Alligator mississippiensis: one gene and its partner. The protein of the gene in region 1 purifies or fractionates together with the protein of each later gene. This does not show direct contact. Links are inferred from orthologs where the notes say so. Each region holds a gene or a part of one and is shown in the gene's direction. Other genes may lie near its edges.

Region 1 (7,653 bases):
TAAGCCAGCAGGGGAAGAGGAACCTGCCCCATACAGCCTCCTGCTCCTCTGACCACTTCCATCCCAGCCCTGGATATGGTAACCAGTATGACCGTGAGCATGGGAGTGAGACAGACCAGCCAGGCATGGACTGGACTCTGTGCACCACCTCTGAGCCCTGTCTCCAGATTTAACCCAGAAAGGATATGATGTCCCCAACAGGCAGCCCCTTCCCCGCTGCGTCTGCACTGGAGAGAATGGCCCTGACCTGGTGCTGCCCTTCAGCCCAGCCAGGACGGGATTATTTCCAAAGGGCCTCCTTGCAAAGCATCGGTGGAGGGTCTTTGCTGGGTGGGCACTTCAGTCCTGCTGCACGGCTACCTAGCCATAGGCTATTTCTTTGCCCACCATCATGTGGTGACCTAGCCAGCTTTCTCGAGCTGAGCAGGGTCAGGGTGGGCCACCCCACCGGGCAGAGAGCGGGCGGGCGATTTATTCGGCGGCCCTCTTCCGTCTAGACGAGACCTAGCGGGTGCATGGGACACCACTGCCTGGAGAGGTCCGTTCACCGTCCTGTCTCCCCATGGCCCCTGTTGGTTGTTCAGAGGAGAAAGCAAAGCCTTAGGGGCACCTTGGGGTCTTTAGAAATCAAGTATATTCACTAAGGTCATAATCACAGTTATACAGAGATGCTGCATGCAGCGCTATAGAGCACTTGTACACGTCACGGCGCCAAAAATTGCCACTTTGCTAGGTTAGTCGTGTCTGAAAATACACCTTGACGTCTTTATCGTGGTAGAGCTCGATTTATCGGGGTAAATTAGACCACCTCCAACATGTTTTATTTTTTAGCGTGGCCAATTGTTACAGCAGGATTACTTTGCTCACGATACATAGAGACCGTGAAGCGAGATCCTTGACCCCGGCTGACTGCCACGTGCTGCTGCAGCTGGCCCTAATGCCCAAGTGTCCCTGCAGATCCTCCGATTTCTCTGCGTGGCTAAGCTGGCCCTGGATTTTGCAGCTGCCGCTCTGCCCAATAGATGTGGCCAACCACCTGGACCCAAATCCCCCCAAACTTGGGATGCAGGGTCACGGGGGGAGGTTGTAATGCAGATCTGAGCGGCTCAGGGAACAGCCCCCTATCTATGGTGCACATTTCCCGACTATAAGTACCTAATGTCAAGGATCCATTATTAAGCAAAGAAACTAAGCTGAACCTCGCTCAGCATTCGTGGTAAAGATGGGAGGAAAGCGTCCTCACAGGCCTACGGGTCCACAGACAAGTATCCATAGGAAATGCCAGCTTCCAGATGGCTGAGGAGCTGATTGACAGCAGCTTCCCAGTTTGCTAAATGCTCCCAAGCCGTGCTTTAGACGGGGCATGAGTGGAGTAATTCAGGATGGAATAGATGTGGGCGAGCTTTTCACAAACCGATAATCAAAGGCCTCTAAACCAGCAAGCAATGCACCCGGCTTGTGGAGCGCTGGACACGAACAGGCCTGCCTGGGCATAAGTGTCCTGAGCTGCCTATTAAATTACTACAGCTTTATCCTTGTCTGGATTTTAAAGAGCTTCCTGCAATCCTTTCATGACTCAGTGTCCTGGCATGGAAATCACATAGCTGAAAGGTTAGCTTTTCAAATCCACTGAGGATATTTCACCTTCCTAAAAATAAAGACCTGGCAAAATAGCTCCAAGCTCCTTCAAAAATGCATGAAAAAAAACCTCACCTTTTAATAACTGCATGCTGTTCGGGGAGTTTTGGTTTTTTTCCTCGGTGGGGTTTGGGCTAGGGAGGATTTTCCTATTTATAATTGTGCAGCTGTTTGCTTGGCTGAATCGCTCTATTTATTATACGCCCTGTTTACCTTCCTTACCTGTAACTGCGGCACGACAAAAAAATTCTTCAGATGCATTCGCTGGAGCGGGTTGTGTTACTACAGGTCCCGGCAGCGCCGCCGACTGAGCCGTGTTCAGGGCTCGAGCACGCGAGGGAGGCTCTGGACTGAAGTGACCCCGCACCGGAGCAGGATTGCTTGCTTGGAAAGAAAGCACCAATTTTTAAGCCTTTTTTATAGGGATGCTCTCCACACGTTGTTATCCCACCTGGACGGCTGTCTCACCTGCGTGGCCTTAATGCCATCCTTCTCTTTGCCCTCCCCACCTAGCCGGCTTGCTGCCCCCCTCCCATCTTGCTTTGCACCTATTAGGACTCCTGTTATTTTGTGTAGCTGAAATTCCTGGAAAAAGGAGCTGGGGATTGCAAAGAAGGAAGTGGGAATGGGGAACTTCATTGGCATGCAGGATACGGCTGGCGCAGGTGCCCGCAGCTTGCCCGGGGCTTCTCGAGCACGTTAATAGGAGAGAGGCAGCAAGAGCCCAGGCCAAGCTTGGGTCCAGAGAGGGCAGCGCTGGGCAAGTGAGACTCAGGGGCATCCAAACCCCAAGCCCCCGGGCTTGGGTCCGCACATAGGATGCCCACCAATGGATCTGGGAGCATCTGAAGCCACAGGCTGCAAAGTCTGGGGTGACAGATTCCTGCCGGTTGCAGAGCCACGTACGGTGTTTGAACGATAAAGCGCTGCTCAATCGAGAGGGTTCGGCCAGTTCGACCCAGAATGAGACAAATTTTCCAAAAAAAAAATTCTGAATGGTGTCGAGTGCAAGTCCTGCCCACGACTCCAGCCACCGGGACCCTCCAGCGGCGCTCATTTCCACAGTGCATTTTGCCTCCGTGGGCAGGCAGGCAGGGAGAATGAAGGGTGCTGCAAGCAGGCAGGGCATTACTTGTGACGTGGGACAACCCAAATCAGGGCCCACGACCGTCAAGGCCTTTAAGTGGGTCTAGGCAGGGCTGACCCGGCCTCGAGCACGGGGCTGAGCTAGAAGATCTCTTGTGGTGCCTCCCTGCCCTTATTCCAGGGCACACGTTGAGGTTAGTTGCATGGGACTCGCTGCCCCAGGGAGCATCTTGCCTGGGCACTGAAAGGGGAGCCTACAGTAGCTGCTGAGCACCGAAAAACCCCCGTCCGGAGCTTTTTGGAGAATCTAGGCCCCTTCCATGACTTGGGGTACATCGTCACTTCCCCCCTGTTCTCCCAGATGAGAGATGAGGATGAGTGGGCATGAAGATCTTTGAATGCTAAGGATTGCAGTAATCACCTGGAAGAGGCAAATTCTGCCCAGGGTGGGTGCTCTGTGGGGATATTTGCAGCAGACAGGCCTTTCTCAGCAGGAGGCAGCGAATGGACACCCCCTTTAGCGCGTCCAGGCTTCCTATGCAACTCGGTGAGAGCTGAAAACCTTGCATGGAAAACCTTGCATGACACATCTTGTTTTCTATCGTGAGCCTCGCATGTGGCCCTCCGCGCGGTTTTCGAAAAACAAGCTCCCGGCGTGTCGCAACATTACTTAAAAAAAGAAATCAAAGCAAAACAAACGGAAAGACTCCTGGAGGTATAAAAAACCCTTCCAGATGGGCCCGTGTCAAAGTAGGTCAAAATCTGCTCCTAAATATATGTGCAGCAGACAGTGGCCCTTTTAAGTCTCAGAGGCTGATTCTCATTTGCACCCGGGGTTTTAACGCTGGCGTAACCCCACGGACGTCCACGCCGGGTTGACCTTGGTGGGGTCTCTCTCCTTGGTCATAAAGCCACGGGCGCTGAAAACCTAACGCAGACTTGCCTGAAGGCCAGGCGGGTCCACGCTCTCCAGTTCATACTCAGCAACCGCCTGGATTTATATTGACGACGGGCGATCATTTGCACGAGCGCATATATTTATGTGTATCGATGATGCGCGATCGTTTGCATAACGATCACTCGCCCGGTGCAACGGCGCAGCTGTCGTGTTGCATTGGCTGCTGGAAGACGGCCCCGGGCCCGGGGCGCTCGCGCTCACCTTGACGGCTGAGGCTGTCGAAGGGGCTCGGTTTGGGAGCCAGCTGGCGCAGAGCCAGGCTTATATTTAATCTCGTCCATAAATACTAATAACGGTTGTGCGTTTGAGGGCGGGAGGGGTGCACGGTGCACAGCATTAAACCTTCCAAAAATAAACCTCTGCCGAAGTGAACGGAGCCCGGTTTTTCCTGGAAAGAAAAGAGACTCAGGGGTGGGGGCCGCCTCGCAGAGCCCACCCCCTGCCCAGACCCTCCGTTTCGGGGACTCCTAGGGCTGGCCGCGACCCCCGGCCCGCGTGAAGGAAAGCTGACCCTAAACCATCCCTGACCCGCGCTTCTTTGATCTCCTTTAGAAAACCTCCAACAACCACTCCTTGACTAAAAAGACATGCCAGCATGGAAACCTCTCGGCTCGGCGGTGAGACCCACTGAGGACGGGCAACCAAGCCAAGCCAAACCAAACCAGCAACTTCATGGTGTTTTCCGTCTCAGGACGCGGAGCAATGGGCTCGGGCTGCAGCGAGGGTAAGTGGAGGCGGGCGGGCGGAAGAACTACCCGCCCCACAAGGCCGCGCTGCCGGGAAGAGGAAGGGGGCGGCGCGGGCAAAGGGCGGCGGGCGGCGCGGCGCGGCGGCATGCGGGGCCGAGGCCGGGGCCGGGGCCAGGACCGGGACGCGGGCGGCGGCATGGCCGCGGCGGGGCCGCACCAGCGCGAGCTCCTCGCCTTCATCCACCACCACCTGCGCCAGGCCGGCTTCGCCCGCGCCGCCCGCGAGCTCCAGCGCCAGCTCGGACAGGTAAGGGCGCCCGGCCCGGCCCGGCCCGGCCCGGCCCCGCCGCGTGCGCTGCGCTGCGCTGCGCTGCGCTGCCAGGGGATCCCCGGCCTCCAGGCCAGCGCGGTGCAGTGCCCTGGCCTTCAGTGTGTTGTATGGCAGTGCCCTGGCCTTCAGGGCAGTGCATCGGGGTGCCCCGGACTTCAGGGCAGTGCATTGCAATGCCCTGGGCTTCAGTGTGTTGCATTGGGGTGCCCTGGCCTTCAGTGCAGTGCATGGGGGTGCCCTGGCCTTCAGTGTGTTGCATGGGGGTGCCCTGGCCTTCAGTGCAGTGCATGGGGGTGCCCTGGCCTTCAGTGTGTTGCATGGGGGTGCCCTGGCCTTCAGTGTGTTGCATGGGGGTGCCCTGGCCTTCAGTGCAGTGCATGGGGGTGCCCTGGCCTTCAGTGCAGTGCATGGGGGTGCCCTGGCCTTCAGTGCAGTGCATCGGGGTGCCCTGGCCTTCAGTGTGTTGTATTGCAGTGCCCTGGGCTTCAGTGCAGTGCATCGGGGTGCCCTGGCCTTCAGGGCATTGTATTGTAATGCCCTGGCCTTCAGCGCAGTGCCCCGGGCTTCAGTGTGTTGTATTGCAGTGCCCTGGGCATCAGGGCAGCGCATTGGGGTGCCCCGGGCGTCAATGCACTGGGTTGCCTTGGGTTTCAGTGCATGGCATTGCATAGACCAGTGGTTCTCAAACTTTTTTTCATGGACCACATGAAAATTGCTGAGGGTCTCAGCAGACCACTTAATAAAAATGTTTTTTGTTCTACAAATCAAAGCCCACAACTCATGTTTTAATATCGGTAGTCTGACCTTTAATGCAGTGGACGTGCCTGTTTTTATGAGCAAAGTTCCAGGAAGTCTAGTGTAATGTTTCAGCTTTAGTCTTAGGTCACCTTTCTGCGGACCACCGTTTGAGAACCTCTGCCGTAGACATTAGGGCTGGAAGGGACATTGCAAGATCATGGGATCCAGCCCCCTGCCCCAGGGGCAGGAAGTTTGCTGGGGTCAAATGATCCCAGTGAGATAAGCATCCAAGTGTGTCTTAAAGGGGTCCAGACTAGGTACTTGCACCACTTCTGGGGGAGAGTCTATTCCAGATTGTAGACCCGGATGGTAAAGAAGATTTTTCCAATGTCCAGCCTAAAACAGTCTTCCCAGAGGTTGCACTGGGTTTCAGTGCATTGCATTGGGTTGGGCTGGATATTAGGAAGAATTTTCTCACTAGGAGGGTGGTGAAGCACTGGGCCAAGTTACCCAGAGAGGTGGTGGAGTCTGCATGCTTGGAGGTGTTTAAGACCCGGGTTGACAAAGCCTTGTCTGGGATGCTGTAGTTGGGGCTGGCCCTGCTTGGAGCAGGGGGTTGAACTAGATGCGTCCTCCTGGGGTCCCTTCTAACCCTCGTTTTCTATGATTTCAGTGCACTGCATTGCACTGGATTTGATTGCATTGCATTTGCGGTGCTTCCTATACCTTCATCCCCCTGGCCCAGCCTGGGAGGAACCTCGTGGCCAGGCTGCAGCCCCCCCTGCTCCCCATGGCCACTGCTTCCAGCCTCTTGACAGGTCCCAACAATTGCTTGCTTGTGCTCCTGTGACTGCCCCGTGACGGGGTGGACGTGCTGCGGCTGCCTAGGCTATTCCTGCTGGATCCCCACTACCTCCAAATATAAGCCATGGTGCGTGGCGGGGAGGGAGCGAGGGCTGGGCTGGTGGTTTCTGTGTGATCTGGACCAGACGCCAGACTGATTGAATGGTTGCTCCAAGTAGGGCGCCCTTTTTCTTTTGGCGTCCGCGGTCCCATGGGAAAGTGAGAACTTTGCTTTAAAATAAAATGCTAGCTGGGAAAGGAGGCATCCTGAGCTTGGCCTTATTGCTGTATCTGCGCATGCGTGCAAGGGATGGAGGGGGAATTAATACCCATTCGACCTCAGCTGGTGAGTTAAACCGCTCCTGCCGACTTTTCATGAGGCTGTCTAGGGCTGCACGTGCTGACTGGCCTCTGTGCACGTAGCCAGAAGTGTGTTGGAAACCTCCAGTCGGCCTCCCCAGAAGCGGGCATCGTTGTCTTTAATGGGCTGGCTAGTGCAGGGCTGCAAAAGTCGAGGATGGAGAGCAGTAATTCGAACTCGGTCCCACTCAGAGATGCTGCGAACTGCCTTTAAACAGTGCTGCCAGGCACCTTAGTCCTGAGCGAAGCTGGTGGAGATCCCACGTGGCGCTGTTCCTAACCCACGGTGCCTTTTCTCCATGCAAACATCTGCAGTGTAGACCTGAGACTAGACCTTCCACGTAAATCCTTCTGCTGACAGTGGTGGAGCTCTCCCGAGTTGCATGGAGCAGCTGAGTCCTTCGACTTCCTTTGTATCGTGTTGGTAGTGGACCTTGAACTGAAACGATGGGGGCTGCAGTTCTGTTCGATGGTTTCTTAGTCATCTGCTGAGACCCCTTAAGTCATGTTTTTTGCAGTGTCTTTCCATCTGCTTCCTGCTTTCCCTTGCACCTTGATAAGAACTGGAATTAATGTTTCCTTTCTGTTTCTCCCGCAGAAAGAGTTTCCTTCGCTGCCGACCTCTCTCGAGGAGATCTTCACCCACTGGAAGAAGTAAGTCCGTCCAGTAGAAACCCTTATCAAAAAGGCTCCAACTCATTTTTCTCTCCCACCATAGCAGGAACCAAATTCGGCTGCCTTTGCGGTTTCTGCTCGCTGGGGTGGGCTGACTTACCGGAAATACTCTCGCTGCTGCAAGATGGAAATGTGGTTTGAACGATGGGGTCTTCTCCACTACCATGCCCTGCCTTCCGCATCTACAGCTGCTTAAAAGACAGCTCTCCTAGGGCATAAGAGTTAAATACTGTTCGGTCTGGTTGCACTCCACATGGCAGAGTTTAGGGGGCAGGAAATCATCCACCAGCAAAAATCTTTTCTCCCTCTCCACTTCATGCAGCTCCCAGCAGCTT
Region 2 (7,557 bases), on another chromosome or scaffold:
CCATCGCTTCTCTTGATGCGCAGCCGAAAGAGCCCCTTTGACCAGGACAAGGATTTGCAAACCCACTCCAGGATGATGGGCAGTCGTCCCACGGGACCAGGCCAGCTGCATGCTACCAGCCCCTGAGCGCCCGAAGCTGGCACACTAAAAAAACTCAGCACTGTCCTTAACAGAGCGCTGAGACGCACTCCGTGTGCTCTCGGGCATTGGACCAAGCGATATAAGACAGCCCTGAACATGATTACTGGAAACAGCGGCAGAGATGACCAAAATCTCCTGCTCCGTCAGCTGTTAACTGAAGACTCGTGCAGGAGGTGACGGCAGGTCGTCTCGTATTGCAGGTGGTTTGTGGAGCATCCCCCAGCTGATAGAGGTGCCCCTCGTCCCTGCCCGCTCTGGCCTGGGTCTGTCTCAGGATCAGGACAGTTCCTAGGCCTGTGCCTGATGGTGCTGGGATTATAACACTCATCGCATCTGTCTTGGACCGACGGAGAGAGAAGGCAGAACCCGCGTCTGGTCCGTTTAGCGCTCGTCCATCAGAGGTGTCCCTCCTGCACCTCTGTCCTCACACGTGTGACCCGGAGGGGATGCCGCTTTGCAGCCGGGAGGACTGGATCCTCATCGCACAGGGCTCCAGACTGGTGCCGCCTTGCAGCTTGCTCCCGGGCTCTTGTTTGGTGCAGGCAGGACCCCTGAAGGGCAGAGCCTGTTGCAAAGTGACCCCGTCCCTAGCCCTGGATAAGAACATGCTGGAGGAGCGGGGAGACGGTTCTGCCAGCCTTCCCCTCTCTGCCTTTCAGCCCTGGGTATCTTAGTGCATCTCTCTAAACATCCTGCAGCTGATTGCCTGGCTGGCGATCCGCCGTGCCATCTGGCCGGAGAGTGCCTCCCTGGGGGATCCTGCTGCACGAGCGCTTGCTGAGCTCTGTCTCTGGCATAACTGGGGAGAGAAATGCCTGAGAAGTGATTACAGCGCAGCAGGAAGCAAGCGGTTGGACTGCCAGTCCTCCCGGAGCCACTGCCAGCTTCATTACCATCCCCTTCCCATGAGCAGGGAGAGCAGCACCGTGCTGGCGCTCCTGGCCCGTTGGGCTCGCCGGGTGCCGTCTGGCTAAGCCGGGTGCAGGTGACATGGGACCTCCCGGGAAAAGCATCCCCCCTTACCTCCAAGCCAGGCAATCGGCCCCCTCCGTGCCAGTGCCATTGCACGCTGGACAGGCCGTGAGTGCTGCAAGCCGGCAGGGCTATCCGCACATCTATGGACCCCTGGAGTCAGAGGGCTCTCCGGCAGGCCTACGACACCAAGCACACGCTGTTGGGGGGCTGTTTTTCCAGCTGAGACAAAAATGCCTTGGTGCTTTCCACTCCTAGAGGAAGGTAGGGGCCTGATTTTCATTCACGCTCAGGTCCCAGGGACAACCCTGCAGACAACGGCTGAGGCACGAGGAAGGGGGATGCTGCAGGCAGCCAAAGGGACGGGCTGGTCATGTGCGGGGCTGTTTGCTGCGGCTGCAAATTCCTCCCATGCAGACCAGCAGCGAGCCGTGCTGGGGATACCGCTGGGGAAACGTCTCGGGTTAGATGGATCATTGTGCTACAAGCAGGATTTAAGGGCTGGGCTATGATAAAATCAGACAGCGGTAAAACCCGGCGGGTTGTATATCTTTTCTAATGCCATGCAAGAGGCACAAAACCCATTGAGCTGCATCCTTCCTGTACTGCCGACGGTTTCAGCTCCTTTGTAAGCTGCTCGGGACCATCTGTTGCCTGCATGTCCATCCAGCAGCTTGGCTCGGAGAGCCGCTGACAGCCATGTCTCTCCGATGCAGATCTTTGCCCTTCTGCCCTCCCTACTTATTGGCTTAGGCCTGAGGGAGGTTTCAGAAATGGAGCCAGGGAGAAATCTCCATCCAACCTTGGCACCCTGAGAAGAACCAGGCCTCATCCCGAGGTGAAAGAGCCGACTTCAAGAGAGGAGCTCCTTTGGTTGCAAGGAGAACTGGAAATGAGTATGGCATGCCAACAAAGCTGTATGGGACTGCACATGATACCCCAGCTACCCACACAGGCCCTGCCAGACAGGGGATTTACTTATTAGGCTTATTAATGCATTCAGGATAAGCAGATTAACTTGAGCTATGGTTTGATGGATGTACCTGGCCGGAGCCTGGCAGTGTTCCCGGTTGGATGCATTTGCTGCGAACCCTGATGCAGGGGTGGGTGGTACCCTCGCATGGGTTTTGGTCTCCTTATCTCAAAAAGGATGTAGTAAGGTTAAAAAAGGCACGGAGAAGAGCGACCCAAATAATTGGGGATATAGAGCAGCTGCCGTACTAGGAAAGACTAGAAAGGCTGGGTGAGACTCTTTAGTTTGGAAAGACGGCGGCCGAGGAGGGATATGGTAGAGGTCTATACAATCACGAAGGGTGTGCACCAAATGACAACTGCTACTTGCCGTGTCCCAGATGCTGGAACTAGGGAGCGCTCGTTGAAATAAATAGGCGATGAGCTTAAAATGAACTCGGAGAAAGGGCTTTTTCACTCGCTGCGTTGTTAACCTGTGGGACTCGCTGCCGCAGGAAGCTGTCGGGGCAGATAGCATAGCCAGGTTCAGGAAGGGGCTAGACCAATTCTTGGATGATCAGTCTATTAATAGGTATTAAACACACCAATGAGGGCTGTATTCTCTGGCATCTCTAAATCAATGATGGTGGATGCGAGGAAGAGTAAGGCGGGTCACTCAAGACCAGGGGTTTTAGACATGCGACACCCCTGGATAGATCAAGACCCCCTTGGGAAAACACCAGCTCTCACCTGTCACTCTTTTTTTTTGGAGAAATAATAGAGCAGGTTTTCTGCTGCAAAGTTCTTCAAAAGACCCCAACTATGAATTCCTGTTTGAAATCTCGGGCTAGGGACGGACATTACACATAAACCAGTTTCAGTGATCAGAAACTGGTTTAAACCTGGAACAGAACAGATGTTCAGGGCACATAAACCAGTTTGAAAAGGGCTGAAACCGGTTTGAGACAAACCTGGTCGAATGTAGTCTCAGACTTAACAAACCGGTTGATGCAATGTCTGTCCCAGACCTGGGTGTATCTTGCACATCCCGTTTGCACACCTAGCGGTGCTAATGCTGTGCGGCCTCCTGGGGCACCCTGTTGAGAATCACTGCTCTAGATACACCCTGGGCTCACAGCACAGGGATGCTAAGCAGGGTGTTTCCCACTCCCAGCTCTCCTTCCAGATGTGGGCTGGAGGATCCATCGCCTGCAAGGACTAATGGTCAAGCGAGGAGTCAAAAACAGGCACTGTGATGTAAAAGCAGAGCCAGAAGGAAGCTCATGAATGAGCCGCCTTGCTCATTGCTATACTCGCTACCGGAGCAGGCAGTGCCTGGTGAGATAGCAGGTTCCTGTACCACCGGGGATGGGGATGGCAATGGCGATGCCCCCTAGGAGGCAGGTGGGGAATGTGTTGCTGACCCAGTGCTTTCCATGATTAGCTCTTGGTCAAGCTGCTATCTTTAGCGAGAGCCCTGTGTGCTTAAGGCGTGGGTTGCACCCCGAAAGCGTGGGTCACACCATTGCACACTGCGAGCGCTGCTGCGATGTTCCTCGAGGCCTGTCTCTATAGCATCCCTGACCTGCCAGGACGGGTCCGACCCTCCTGGCCAGGCAGCCAGCAAACAGAGGAAAAGGGTGCTCAGGGGCTGTGCAGGGTTGCAGGCAAGTTCACTCTCACAGCCCCCTCTTTGTCCTGCCGCTTTAAGCCCAAATATTCCACACTGGATGGAGAAGAGCTTGCCTGCTCCTGACCTGCTACCCCAGGGATGATACCCCACTATCCCCTGGAAACTGTATTAAAAAGTGTCCCCCTTAAACCACCCCATGCCACCCCACATTCAGGTCCTGTCCCACCGCTGTAGACATCGAGTCTTGGAGACGCCGTCACTCTCCCTTGCCCCATTAATCCCAATTTGAACATTAGTTTTGCCTTCTCCAGTGGAACAGAAGTGACCAGGGGGGTTTATATGGGATTGGGCCTTGTGGAGCATGGGCACCGGCTGCTTGTCTGCTCCGTCCCTGATTCCCTTTGTGTCCCCTCTCCCTGCAGCTCACAGTCTACCTTGGGAAGAGGGACTTCGTGGACCACATAGACATGGTGGATCCTGTTGGTAAGTGGCTGCTTGGCTTGGTTCACCTGGTGGGATTCCCAATGCAAAGAGCAGCCCAGCCCGGGATGCGGGTGCAGAAGTGCTTTGGCTTTGTGCTGTCTCCAAGGACAGCGCGTACCGAACGGGGGGGCTTATGCAACAGCCTTGCCGTAGCTGTAATTAGACAGGAGGGTTAGAGATTTTCCACATCAGCAAGTTTCCCCGGTCGTGGCTGGAGTGTGCTCTCATGCCCATCCTACCCACTCGAAGGGAACATTAGCTAGCGGTTGGATGGGTCTGGACTTTGCAGAGAGGATGCTGACGACCAGGATGCCTGCAGCACCCGGGGGCTGCAGCCGGGATGCAAGCCCAAGCGTGCAGGGTGCTGTTTCAATACATCATAGAGGACAGTTCATGCCACTGCCTCGTTTCAGACCAGACCCGACGAATCTCGGAAGGGAGGGTGAGAGTCGCGCCAGTTAGAGTGTGCATTTGCACAGGGCAGCTAGACGAGGTGTCTGGTCAATGAATTACCATGCCCCAATGTTTGTGCTGCAATAAATGACAAAATGCTGATGAATGCAAGAGAGAGGAGCTGTTCCAGCTGGCTGGCTGCCTGGCCCGCTGCTTATCCAGCAAAGCGGGTGTTGAGGAAGAAGGTAGGAGGAGGGAGAGCAGTGGCTGTAGGTACGAGGTCTGGTTATAGAGGCAAACCAGTGGGATGCGTGCTGCGGACCGCCCAGCGATCTCTTACACCAGTGCAGCCAGGGTTTGCACCGTGCCAGCTGTGCCCGGGCAGCTGCTGCGGTAGGGGCAGGCATCCAACCCTGCTCTCCCTGGCAAACCTCCCATCGATGGCAGCGTGTGAAGGATCAGGATATCGGGCGGTTGCTAAAGTGCACGATCAATTGGAAGTTGGCATCCCGACAGGCATGGGAGCCTGCCTCCATCGAACCCAGCCTGGCTTGGAGCGACCTGGTTTCTGTGCGTGCTGAGGCTGGGGTGGGGGTCCCAGGAAAACCACAGCTCTAGGTGTGAAGGGGGCTCAGGGAACTATTTTTCCTGTCTGTGAGAAGACTTTGGGATGTGCAGGCCCAGGCTGCAGCCTGCGGTCCTGGGAATGAGATGTAATGAGCTCCTGGCAGGGTGAGACGTGACTGTTGGAGAGGGACTGAAAGAGTCCAGACCTGTTTGCATGGCATACGGCGAGATCCTTTCCCAGGGATTTCCTTCTATTACTTCTTATCTATATGAAAGTAGCACCTGGAAACCCCTGCTGAGATCAGAGGCCCGTAGCATTGGTTGCTCTTCACACCACCGGGAGCAGGCCGTGTCCCGAAGAGCCGAACATCTGGAGAGGCACCGGTTGTGTTGTCCTGCCCACCATAGATGCAAGGGGCAAGAAGACTTGCCCAAGGTTGCACGGGAAGCTTGTGGCAGAGCCAGGAACCGGCCCCAGATCTCCTGTGACTCCGCCAGCCCTTGTGCAAGCCCTTGTGTAAAGTTTTCAGGAGGGCCGAAGGGCCAGATCCGGAGAGGCAGTTACAGCGGCAACGCCGAGCATTCAACGCCTAAAATTTAGGAGCTTGGTTCTGGGCGTGGAGCCCACAAAGCCTGGGGAGGCACCTACCTCCTCTGCACTTTAAATAGAGAGACAGAGTCACCTGGGCCCTCGACCCACCGAGCCCCTGCTTTACAGTGGGGTAAGAGGCACCACTGGCGCTGCTGGAAACCTGGAGCAATGTCGTGGAAAGCAATGGCTTGATTCAGGATTATGCTTCAGATGCCGGGGGGGCAGGACCCGGTCGAATGAAGCTGCATCAGACTGAGGGAGATGCACCTCTGGCCTGTATGGTGCAGGCTGGTCTGAAAAGGGCTTTATCCTCTGGATGCCTGCTGCTCGCTGCACCCTTTTAAGGTTGAGTTTGGAGAGGTGAAAGACAGGGTGCAGCAAGGAGGCTGCCGATCCATTAGGCAGGCCGAGCTAGTGGCAGCAGGCTGCAGAAGCCACAAATGTGTCTGAAAGGAAAGCCAGAGACCATGAGATGTGAAACCTCCCCTCCCCTTGTCCCCTCTCCAATAGCTAATGACTGGAGCCCAGGTCCCCTACGCCAGGTCCCGGCAGAAATCGGAGACGGTAAGGAACACAAGCGTCTTAGCGGGATTTGCTTAGCCCTATTGCTTGGGGCATCGTCATGGGGACTTTGCAACGTGCGTGAAAAAGGCCTGGCTCTTGGGCATTGCAGCGGCAAAACGGGGTCTTCAGAAGCTCCCGCCGGCCCCTGGCAGCAAGAATCAGAGCATTTCAGGTTGTTGTTACCTCTGTTCATTATGCATCTCCGAGGCCGCTAGCTTTCCGGTTTAATTACCCAGGGCGGCAGAGCATATTGCTTCTCCATTATCTCCCACCCCATATGTAATGCTCTTCTTCTCGTATCTAATTACAGTCCCGCTTTGATTACCCATTAGCTAGGGGAAAAAAAAAAAAAACCCAACAAAACCCTTTTTCAGACTTCCAATTTCTCCACCCTGGGAATTTGCAGACCTGACTCACCCCCGCATCCAGTTTCTTTGTTCTGGGGAGAGCCGCTCACCCTGGCTCAGCCGCATCGGATGCAAAGTCGTTCGCTTCGTTTTCATCCGCTGCCCCTCCCCGCAACCCAAATGGCTAAGACGCCATTAATGTCAGTGTGTAGGAAGGGCCCCGACTACACCGCGTTGGTTGTGGATTGGAGCCAGACGTCTCTGCAGACCGACCACTTTGCTTCTGGCCATCGGTGTGCATGGCCCGAGGAGCGGCGGGTCTCAAGGAGCACGGCCGTGGATTCGAGGGTCTAGTTTTACCACTGAGATGGAAGCACCCGGAGCTGAGCGTGCCTCGTTCTGCGGGCAAAACATCGCTGGAGCCAGACGCGGGCACCTTCATTCTCCGTGAATCTGAGCCACCTCGGCAGCCCCGCTGGCTCCTCTCTGCCTTCCCGGCACCTCCCTGCCCCTGCCATGCCATCCTGCATTCACGCCTTCGCCCACCACAGAAACTCATACGAAGTCAGGAAGGGGCGGCAGGTCTGCCTGGGAGGCGAGGCGATGTTTCCGTGCAGTGCATTAGCCTCGAGGGACTTGCTGCTCCAGTCTAGCACGGGACTGAGGAGTTTGTCAGCATGCCAGTGCTGTGGAAAAAAGCACAGAGGCAACCAGGTGCAGGAAGTTGAAGCCTTCTGCCTAGCCTGGCGTGCGGTGGGTGCTGTACAGCTCGAAGCCGTACGTGCCACCCGGTCCGGCAGGCCTCAGAGGCCTGGGTGCAGCTCGCAGAAGGAAGCTGGAGCGTACACCTTCTCTGGGGCAGGCCAGGAGAAAGGCCACGAGACTCAGATGGGTCTGGAGTGGTGAATGCTTTC

What was found.
Region 2: the proteins of TCOF1 (region 1) and ARRB1 purify together in Homo sapiens (affinity purification with western blotting; 5 studies listed by BioGRID and IntAct, with this or other methods). This does not show direct contact. The link is inferred for Alligator mississippiensis from reciprocal best matches to the Homo sapiens genes TCOF1 and ARRB1.

The regions. Positions count from the first base shown.
Region 1 is NC_081832.1:75,212,682-75,220,334, forward strand, and holds the start of TCOF1 (treacle protein), read left to right. Parts: upstream 1-4,508; 5' UTR 4,509-4,516; coding exon 4,517-4,678; intron 4,679-7,241; coding exon 7,242-7,297; intron 7,298-7,653.
Region 2 is NC_081824.1:478,359,487-478,367,043, forward strand, and holds the start of ARRB1 (beta-arrestin-1), read left to right. Parts: upstream 1-4,435; 5' UTR 4,436-4,450; coding exon 4,451-4,622; intron 4,623-4,874; exon of another isoform or gene 4,875-6,172; coding exon of another isoform or gene 6,173-6,296; intron 6,297-7,557. UniProt on the Homo sapiens protein: Functions in regulating agonist-mediated G-protein coupled receptor (GPCR) signaling by mediating both receptor desensitization and resensitization processes.